3 linked regions of the Saccharomyces cerevisiae S288C genome follow. The gene in region 3 interacts genetically with the main gene of each other region. Each region holds a gene or a part of one and is shown on either strand. Other genes may lie near its edges.

Evidence for each region. Genes that interact genetically often act in the same process or in processes that back each other up.
Region 1: mutations in MAK3 (region 3) and MEK1 together harm fitness more than expected from each alone (negative genetic interaction), as found in Saccharomyces cerevisiae (3 studies listed by BioGRID).
Region 2: mutations in MAK3 (region 3) and AFG3 together harm fitness less than expected from each alone (positive genetic interaction), as found in Saccharomyces cerevisiae (2 studies listed by BioGRID).

Annotation. Positions count from the first base shown.
Region 1 is NC_001147.6:994,518-998,405, reverse strand, and holds MEK1 (serine/threonine protein kinase MEK1), read left to right. Parts: upstream 1-1,894; coding exon 1,895-3,388; downstream 3,389-3,888. Other genes in the region: TFIIH complex subunit TFB6, read right to left, coding at 162-1,193; MNE1 (Mne1p), read left to right, coding at 3,551-3,888. UniProt on the Saccharomyces cerevisiae protein: Probable protein kinase required for meiotic recombination.
Region 2 is NC_001137.3:189,003-193,376, reverse strand, and holds AFG3 (AAA family ATPase AFG3), read left to right. Parts: upstream 1-1,588; coding exon 1,589-3,874; downstream 3,875-4,374. Other genes in the region: ISC1 (inositol phosphosphingolipid phospholipase), read right to left, coding at 1-580; kinetochore-associated Ndc80 complex subunit SPC25, read left to right, coding at 753-1,418; microtubule-binding protein BIM1, read right to left, coding at 4,066-4,374. UniProt on the Saccharomyces cerevisiae protein: Catalytic component of the m-AAA protease, a protease that plays a key role in proteostasis of inner mitochondrial membrane proteins.
Region 3 is NC_001148.4:663,454-665,990, forward strand, and holds MAK3 (peptide alpha-N-acetyltransferase MAK3), read left to right. Parts: upstream 1-1,506; coding exon 1,507-2,037; downstream 2,038-2,537. Other genes in the region: autophagy protein ATG11, read right to left, coding at 1-1,220; NHP6A (high-mobility group nucleosome-binding protein), read right to left, coding at 2,240-2,521; YPR053C (uncharacterized protein), read right to left, coding at 2,335-2,537.

The DNA.
Region 1 (3,888 bases), on a different chromosome or scaffold from region 3:
GGGAGGATCATATACCCCATGGTACTGAAATGTATGCTTTATATATATATATATATATATTTATATATTTATGCATGAAAAATGAGGAGTTCGGAAACAGAAGTTTTAAAAGTTACAGATTTATTGTATAAAAGATACACGCCACTGGTTGAATGTAAATGTTAAAATGAATTGGCATGGTCTAAAAATCCCTCGTAAATCTTGCTTAATTCATAATGGTAACCATGGATACCCTGGGATTCCAAAAATATGGGTAGGCGAACTCTTGTTCGTTCCGCGATACCTTTTAACCTCACAATATCAGTCCCATTCAATCCTGCTATGTTCTTGCTGGCTGAAGACGTTTTAGGGACTTCTTTGCAATTATCATTATCATCAGTTAGAATTACAAATATCCTGTCAAGGATGAAGAAGAGTTTGAATAATTTGGATAAAGTGTCATTAATCTCTGAGTCTTCCATATTTTTGAATGTAAATTTTTCAACGTAATCGATGAGATCGTCCGCAATTTTTATTAAATAGGACCCTTGACCAAAATAACTAGAATATCCGCATGTATCTTTTGGGTTTCGGGAATCTGGGCAATGTCTCTTTTCTTCTGATTGAAGTAAATAGTCTGAGTTTGGAACATGGGCAATAGAATACCAAACGAAGTCAACTAAAGTTTTTAAATCCTGCAGCAGCGGAGTAAGACTGGCATAGCCGTTTTTGATATTCAGGCCCCTGGATTGAACAAATTTTCTTTGAATTTGTAAAAGCTGATCATCAACGTAAGAGATGAATTTGGATTGTTGAGACATTGACAATCTTCTCGGGTGTGACGTTCCATTGTGATCATTTGGCAATAATTCACTCAGCTTTGTGGCAGACGAAAAGGGAGAAGACACGTTTATTCTAGGCTGGAAATCGTCAACATCATCGAGCATAGTTACGTCGTTGATTGTGTTGTTAGTTTCATTGTAAACATCATTGAATTCTGGTGTATGATATCTTCTTTTCTTATTACAATTACGCTGCCATATAACGTTGTCTATGTTAGAATTTACGACATCACCTGAGTCTGCACTAATTTCTACATCTGAGTTTGGATCCAAGTTTAAATCATCAATGTCTTTTTCATCTAGATCATTTAAGTTGTTCAAGTCCAGTTGCTCATTCGGTTGAGCATGTAATGGTGTGTTTGGCTCAGACATCAAAATACTGTGTTGAAATCTTTTATTTTTATAATATTTCTTTCCTTACCAGGGCTTGGAGTCTCTACAACAGTTAGCTTACTGTTTATTCTGCCACATTTCCACCCTTTTGTGGGGCTTCTATTTCAAGGACCTTCATTATGGAAACAGGGCGAGGTTGTTTGTTCTTCCTGCATGTTGCGCGCAGTGCGTAAGAAAGCGGGACGTAAGCAGTTTAGCCATTCTAAAAGGGGCATTATCAGAATAAGAAGGCCCTATGAGGTATGATTGTAAAGCAAGTGGTGTAAAATTGTGTGCTACCTACCGTATTAGTAGGAACAATTATGCAAGAGGGGTCCTGTGCAAATAAAAAATATATATCTAGAAAAAGAGTAGGTAGGTCCTTCACAATATTGACTGATAGCGATCTCCTCACTATTTTTCACTTATATGCAGTATATTTGTCTGCTTATCTTTCATTAAGTGGAATCATTTGTAGTTTATTCCTACTTTATGGGTATTTTCCAATCATAAAGCATACCGTGGTAATTTAGCCGGGGAAAAGAAGAATGATGGCGGCTAAATTTCGGCGGCTATTTCATTCATTCAAGTATAAAAGGGAGAGGTTTGACTAATTTTTTACTTGAGCTCCTTCTGGAGTGCTCTTGTACGTTTCAAATTTTATTAAGGACCAAATATACAACAGAAAGAAGAAGAGCGGAATGAGACCGTTGTATAGCTGCAACCTTGCAACCAAAGATGATATTGAGATGGCAGGTGGCGTAGCTCCTGCTCACCTGGAAGTTAATGTAGGCGGCTATAATACAGAGCAGACAATACCTATAGTAAAGCATCAGCTCGTGAAAGTTGGGAGAAATGATAAGGAATGTCAACTCGTTCTAACGAATCCCTCTATCTCCTCTGTTCATTGCGTGTTTTGGTGTGTCTTTTTTGATGAGGATAGTATTCCAATGTTCTACGTTAAAGATTGTTCTCTTAATGGAACGTATTTGAACGGTTTGCTTTTGAAAAGGGACAAAACGTATCTTTTAAAACATTGCGACGTTATTGAATTATCGCAGGGAAGTGAAGAAAATGACATTAAAAAAACACGACTAGTTTTTATGATTAATGATGATTTACAATCTTCTCTGGACCCAAAACTTTTAGATCAAATGGGTTTTCTGAGGGAAGTAGACCAATGGGAAATAACAAATAGAATAGTGGGTAATGGCACTTTCGGTCATGTTCTGATCACGCATAACTCAAAAGAACGTGATGAAGATGTCTGTTATCACCCTGAAAATTATGCTGTGAAGATCATTAAACTAAAACCAAATAAATTCGATAAAGAGGCTCGAATCCTTTTGAGACTGGATCACCCAAATATTATCAAAGTCTACCATACTTTCTGTGACAGGAACAATCACCTTTACATATTCCAGGATCTTATCCCTGGTGGTGATTTGTTTTCTTACCTAGCTAAAGGCGACTGTCTAACTTCCATGTCAGAAACTGAATCGCTATTGATCGTCTTTCAAATTTTGCAAGCTTTAAACTACCTTCATGATCAAGACATTGTTCACCGCGATTTGAAACTAGACAATATTTTGTTATGTACGCCAGAACCGTGCACTAGAATCGTCTTGGCAGACTTTGGTATAGCTAAAGATTTAAATTCCAACAAAGAAAGAATGCATACTGTCGTAGGCACTCCGGAATACTGCGCTCCAGAAGTTGGATTCAGAGCAAACAGAAAAGCATATCAAAGCTTCTCAAGAGCAGCTACGTTAGAGCAACGAGGTTATGACAGTAAATGTGATCTTTGGTCTTTGGGTGTCATTACACACATTATGTTAACAGGGATCTCGCCTTTTTATGGAGATGGTTCTGAGAGGAGTATTATTCAAAATGCAAAAATTGGGAAGCTGAATTTCAAACTGAAGCAGTGGGATATTGTTTCAGATAATGCCAAGAGTTTTGTCAAAGACCTTTTGCAAACTGACGTAGTTAAACGATTAAATAGTAAGCAAGGTCTCAAACATATTTGGATTGCAAAACACTTAAGTCAATTAGAGAGATTATATTACAAAAAGATATTGTGCAATAACGAAGGCCCTAAACTAGAAAGTATAAATTCAGACTGGAAAAGGAAGTTACCCAAAAGTGTTATCATTTCTCAGGCAATACCGAAAAAGAAGAAGGTTTTGGAGTAATCATAGGATTATCTCTTCCTCTTTCAAACTGCGCGTAGTTCAAAATAAAAAGGTATCTGTGTAAAAAAAAAAAAGTAAGTCAATTGTATGATTTTTAAGTAAAAGTTGCCCTTTTCTACTAGAAACGGCGAGAAAAAATGATAGTAGTGTGCCAAGAAGAATATGAAGTTACTTTTTAAAAGATATTCGTCTAGTCATATTGGTAAGCTGATTAAGGACTCTTTAATCACTCCTGAAATACTACCACAGCTAGGGCGACAGCCATCATCGCATAAACGTTTACCAAATAACAAAAGAACTAACTCAATAACTGATAAATGGTTGAAGGATGCGCTAACAAGAAAAGATAAACTGAATGAAGATAAGCTCCAAAATGTAAATTTACGATTAAATGTGGTACTGACTACTCTACAGAAGCTTCGTACATCCGATAATCCTGCTTTGTATTTTGCGTTGTTGAATCGTATTGGCACAGGTCACATAAAATGGCTAAATAAAAG
Region 2 (4,374 bases), on a different chromosome or scaffold from region 3:
CGTATGGGGCGTGCATGTGACTGTTCATTATTGCAATGGGGCGGGTTCCTGTGTTCAATACGGTGATTGCTATAGATTTCCCTACGTACCAGTCGCCACGGAACACCGCACTCGGTCTACCGTTTATCGGGAACCGGTAAAGAAAGGTCGACTCTATCGGGACCTTGGACAGTATGGCCAACCCAGGCCCCGTCAGAATACCAGAATGGAACAAACGCTGATACGGATACTTGGAGGCACACGCAGAAGCTAGATACTTCCAGTCTTCCACACACCAGATTTCTTGTAAGGCAATCACGTCGTAATCTTCGTTTTCATTACTATCTCCACCATTGGGCAACAACTCGTCAGATATTGGCGTAAGCATTGAGTGGCCCGCCAATTTATCAGCAATTGCTCTGAGTCTTTCTTTACGGTGTTTGGAGACGTATTTTAACCCCCATGTATTGAAGGTCAGAAACTTTATGGAATACGCTTTACTATTATCGGACATAATTGCGTTGGTCCCGTTCAGTGCTTCAAACTCAGATTGACCATCTTCCTTCCTCTCGTGAACATCTCTGTCTTTTCTGTTGTACATATATCTGCTTTTTTTCCCTTTTTACGCGGAAAGCGCAAATTTCCTCGAAGATTTAAGCCAAACCAAAATAAATCAAACCAAACCAAAACAAAACAAAAACAAAAACAAAAACAGGCTAAGCCGATTCAATTAAAACCGCTCATACGTATACAACACATACACACATACAAGAATGGCCAGCATAGACGCATTTTCGGACCTTGAGCGCCGGATGGACGGGTTCCAAAAGGACGTGGCCCAGGTACTGGCACGTCAGCAAAACCACGCGCGCCAACAGCTGCAACAGTTCCAAGCGGAAATGCGTCAATTACATAACCAACACCAACATCTCATAGATGAACTGCAACGGCTTGCCACCCAGCGCACCGCTCTGCAGCAACAAATACATGCGGCCCAACAAGCTACAAATACCACCAGAGAGCAGTGGAGAAGCTATCACGAGCGTGAATCTGAGTTATCTAGACGGCAGTCGACCTTAGCAGCCCAATCGCGCGAGCTGGACTCGCTGCTGCAACAGCGTGGTAAAGAGTGTGTCCAATTACGCGCACGTTGGGCTGCGCAGTCGGGTAACGATGCCGCAGAGGTCGCACTGTACGAACGGCTGTTGCAGCTTCGTGTACTACCCGGAGCCAGCGATGTGCATGACGTACGTTTCGTATTCGGCGATGATTCACGCTGCTGGATCGAAGTCGCGATGCACGGAGACCACGTGATCGGAAACTCTCACCCGGCGCTGGACCCCAAGAGTCGGGCAACACTTGAGCACGTGCTTACCGTCCAGGGCGACCTCGCGGCATTTTTAGTCGTGGCCCGCGATATGCTTCTGGCATCTTTATAACGCCTTTATACGCATCTGTTCAGTTTATTCTGGGCCTATGATTTAGATGAGGAATAAATTGGTTCTTACTGTCTATACATAACTTTTACAAGGACCCATTCTATATTAAAGGAGATTAACGCAGTCTTCAAATAAAGGCATCATCCACTTATTTTATAATATACTAAGTGATGATGATGTGGCAACGATATGCAAGGGGTGCGCCACGCTCATTGACATCACTCTCATTTGGTAAAGCTAGCCGCATATCAACAGTGAAGCCAGTGCTTCGCTCGCGCATGCCAGTTCACCAGCGTTTGCAGACGTTATCTGGTCTGGCAACCAGAAACACAATACACCGTTCTACCCAAATACGTTCCTTCCATATCTCATGGACAAGGTTAAATGAAAATAGGCCAAACAAAGAGGGTGAGGGCAAGAACAATGGTAATAAAGATAATAATAGCAATAAAGAAGATGGCAAAGACAAAAGAAATGAGTTTGGTTCATTATCAGAATACTTCAGATCTAAGGAATTTGCTAATACGATGTTTTTGACCATCGGATTCACAATTATATTTACTTTGCTCACACCTTCCAGTAACAACTCAGGAGACGACTCTAACCGCGTCTTGACTTTCCAGGATTTCAAAACAAAATACCTGGAGAAGGGTCTTGTGTCCAAGATTTACGTCGTTAATAAGTTTCTCGTAGAGGCCGAATTAGTCAATACAAAGCAAGTTGTATCGTTCACCATTGGTTCAGTAGATATTTTTGAGGAACAGATGGACCAGATCCAGGACCTCTTGAACATTCCTCCTCGGGATCGTATCCCCATCAAATACATTGAGAGATCTTCTCCCTTCACATTTTTGTTCCCCTTCCTGCCCACCATCATTCTGCTTGGTGGCCTTTACTTCATAACCAGAAAAATAAATAGTTCACCACCAAATGCCAATGGTGGTGGTGGAGGAGGCCTCGGCGGCATGTTTAATGTTGGAAAATCCAGAGCAAAGCTCTTCAATAAGGAAACAGACATTAAAATTTCATTTAAAAATGTTGCCGGTTGTGATGAAGCTAAACAGGAAATCATGGAATTTGTTCACTTTTTGAAGAACCCAGGTAAGTACACTAAATTGGGTGCCAAGATTCCACGAGGCGCTATTCTTTCTGGACCCCCAGGTACCGGTAAGACTCTCTTGGCCAAGGCCACCGCAGGTGAGGCGAACGTGCCCTTCTTGTCAGTATCAGGTTCTGAGTTCGTCGAAATGTTCGTTGGGGTGGGTGCTTCACGTGTAAGAGACTTGTTTACTCAAGCAAGGTCTATGGCCCCCTCGATTATCTTTATAGATGAAATTGACGCTATCGGTAAAGAAAGAGGCAAAGGCGGCGCTCTCGGTGGCGCTAACGATGAAAGAGAAGCTACGCTGAATCAATTATTGGTGGAAATGGACGGATTCACTACTTCCGACCAAGTCGTAGTCCTTGCGGGTACAAATAGGCCCGATGTGTTGGATAATGCTTTGATGAGACCGGGAAGGTTCGATAGACATATCCAAATTGATTCTCCTGATGTCAATGGTAGGCAGCAAATATACCTGGTTCACTTGAAAAGACTGAATCTGGATCCCCTTCTTACAGATGATATGAATAATCTTTCTGGGAAATTGGCTACGCTTACTCCAGGTTTTACTGGTGCAGATATCGCTAATGCTTGTAATGAGGCTGCATTAATCGCTGCCAGACATAATGACCCATATATCACTATCCATCACTTTGAGCAAGCCATTGAAAGAGTCATTGCGGGACTAGAGAAGAAAACAAGAGTCCTTTCTAAGGAAGAAAAAAGGTCAGTGGCCTATCATGAGGCAGGACATGCCGTTTGTGGTTGGTTTCTAAAATATGCGGATCCACTTCTGAAAGTAAGCATCATCCCGCGTGGACAAGGTGCTTTAGGCTATGCCCAGTACCTACCACCGGATCAATATTTGATATCTGAGGAGCAATTCAGACATAGAATGATCATGGCTCTTGGTGGCCGTGTTTCTGAGGAGCTACATTTTCCATCGGTGACTAGCGGTGCTCATGATGATTTCAAAAAGGTTACACAGATGGCAAATGCCATGGTTACATCCCTAGGAATGTCACCCAAGATTGGCTACCTGTCGTTTGATCAGAATGATGGAAACTTCAAAGTTAACAAACCCTTCAGTAATAAAACGGCAAGAACCATTGATTTAGAAGTTAAATCTATAGTAGATGATGCACACCGAGCTTGTACAGAATTGCTAACCAAAAATTTGGACAAAGTCGATCTTGTCGCAAAAGAATTGCTACGTAAGGAAGCAATTACTAGAGAAGACATGATTAGATTATTGGGTCCAAGGCCATTCAAGGAAAGGAACGAGGCTTTTGAAAAATATTTGGATCCAAAGAGCAATACCGAACCGCCTGAGGCACCTGCAGCAACAAATTAAAGGGGAAATAAAACGGTGGCTTCTTCATCTCACTTTATATCTTTACCTGATCCCCCTTCCAGGATCCTATCTTATTTTCTCATTCTTTTAGTAATAATATACATGTATATATATATATTGATAACGAGTAATAAAAAAAATAAAAAAAAATAATACATATTCGAAAACAATACTGCTTTTTAGTTCTCAACTTAAAAAGTTTCCTCGTCGATGATCAAGTTGTTGCTCACGCCAACCTCACCTTCGTCGTTCTGCATTATCACATCATGGTTACTACCTTCGTTACCATTGACCTCGCCATTGCTGTTCGCATAGCCGCCCTGATTCGGCACAGTTCCATGTTCACCCAGATTTTTATCATTCAATTCATCCTCACCATCATTCATTTCAAATCCTTCTGCAGTAGCATATAAAATACTTTCCACCTTCTTGACGAACCGTAATAATGCTCCCCCATTTCCATTACCATGGCCGGTGATGGTCTCATCATTAAATTTATA
Region 3 (2,537 bases):
AGACTTTTTTTTAAATCTATTAGTTCTCCTATTTGTGAATACAGCGCTTGTGATATAGTGAAGAGAGTTTTCACTGATTCTTTTTTATCCTTTTCCAACATCACATTCATGCTTTTCAAAAATTCTTGACTATTGAATTCTTCTTCTTCTTTATCAAGTACATTTCTGCTTCTTGTTCGCATTTCTGATACCAGTACCTCAAAGCTCTCTGCCATTTGGTCTTCAAGCTCGAATTTAGATTCATTCGGGGTAAACATTTGCCGCAGTCGATCGATGTTTACTGTTATAATATCTCTAAAACTTGCATTTTCGTCAATTTCCCTCTTAATTTTATTCAGCTTACCATTGATTGAATGATTTAGAATCTTTACAGATTTTTCGTTCTCCAGGAGAGATTCAATATTAATGAACTTTTGTAAAGAATCACCCTCTAAAGCAGTCAACTTACTCAAGGTGTCATTGAAGCATTTTTCCCATTTTGAAGTCATACCATTGTCTACCAGCTGATTTAAAAATTGAACGTTTGAGTTATACAAACTTTCTACATCAAAGCAGTACAGCTTCAAATATTGTGAGCAAACGGTTAAGCCATCAAAAATACGCTTAATATGGGCTATTATGTCTGGTATGAGGCTCTTAAAATAATGTACATCTATTTCTAAAGCGCTTAGCCAACCAAGGTTCGTCGTCAGTAAGCTAGTTACGGAATGGTAATTTAAACGCGAAAGATCTACGTCTGCGTCCTCCAAAGGCGAGGGCATAGGCTTGATCATAATAGTATCGCTACCTTGGTATTGAGATATATGACTATTCTTAATTAAATATTCCAGAGTCTCTGTCAAGTCGTTGGAATTAGGGGAGTTCATGGGATTAGAATCCTTAGACGTTAAAAGATTTGTTGGTGTCGGTTTACTAACAAGTGAGAATAGTCGTCTGTCGTAAACGTAAAAATCATTTAGAGTAAAAGACCTATTAATAAGCAGCTCTTTAAACATCGACGGTTTTAGTTTGTTACCATAAGGTAGTAGAATCAGCAGCTGATCGGGAGGAATCTTCCATTTCCTAGCAATGAACTGTTTAAATTTGTCCAGGGAAACGAAAAAATCAACATTCGTAGTTATACATTCTCCAGATATTGCATTTATGATAGTGGCTGTTGTCTGCAGTGGTGTTATTTCTTGCTGGGTAGGTGCAGTGCTATATTCATCAGCGTCTGCCATGATGTATAAAAGAAAATAAAAGAAGTACTTTCCGAACAACAACAGTACACTAAAATAATCGTTGTTCAAAGGAGGACTACTTTGGTTCTGATTTGAGAAAATGGTACTCAAATAAGGGCATCGCTATTATATAGTTCCATTCCTACCAAGAAACCGGGTAGCCAAAAGCGATAAAAAGGCTCTCCATGGCAAGCCTTATTAAAAATAATAATCATGAAGAACAAAGTTTCACAAGAGATTACAAGATAAAAAAGCCACTACTACAGAAAAGGCGTTGGGTCAGGACATGGAAATAGTGTACAAGCCATTGGACATACGTAACGAAGAGCAGTTTGCTAGTATTAAAAAACTAATAGATGCGGATCTATCAGAGCCGTACTCGATATACGTATATAGGTATTTCTTGAACCAATGGCCCGAGTTAACGTACATTGCCGTTGACAACAAGAGTGGAACGCCTAACATACCCATTGGTTGCATAGTGTGTAAGATGGACCCGCATAGAAACGTGAGACTGAGAGGATATATAGGAATGCTAGCCGTAGAGTCCACATACCGCGGGCATGGCATAGCAAAGAAACTAGTGGAAATTGCCATAGATAAAATGCAAAGGGAACATTGCGATGAGATCATGTTAGAAACAGAGGTGGAAAATTCGGCGGCTCTAAACTTATATGAAGGAATGGGTTTCATCAGAATGAAACGGATGTTCCGCTACTACTTGAATGAAGGGGACGCCTTTAAACTGATATTGCCGTTGACTGAAAAGAGCTGCACTCGGTCTACGTTCCTAATGCATGGCCGGCTGGCCACATAAAAGGAAAAACACTCGATGATGATAAAATATATATTAATAATACAATTTTTTTATTTATTTATTTAATCATATGTATAGATATAGAAAAAGGGCAGTAGAGAAAAGAGGAATAGAAAGGAGAGAGATAATAAAGCAAGTTTCAAAAAGAACAAGAGGAAAAGAAATTAAATCACACAGACAAAAACGCGGGGAGGAAGTATCCCTAAGCCAAAGTGGCGTTATATAACTCCTTTTCGGATTCATATCTCTTCTTATCGGCCTGGGCCTTGGCCTCGTAAGGCTGCTTTTCCTCTGGCGTTAGAGCCTTCCACTTCTCACCCAACTTCTTGCCGACTTGTCCAAATGTGATATCTGGATTTTCAGAACGAACAATATCTCTGTTTTCGTTAGCGAAAAACATGTAGGCGGACAAAGCCCTCTTAGGGGCATTTGGGTCCTTCTTCTTTCTAGTGGTTCTCTTCTTAGGTTCTCTTGGGGTGACCATTGCGACTGTGCTTTAC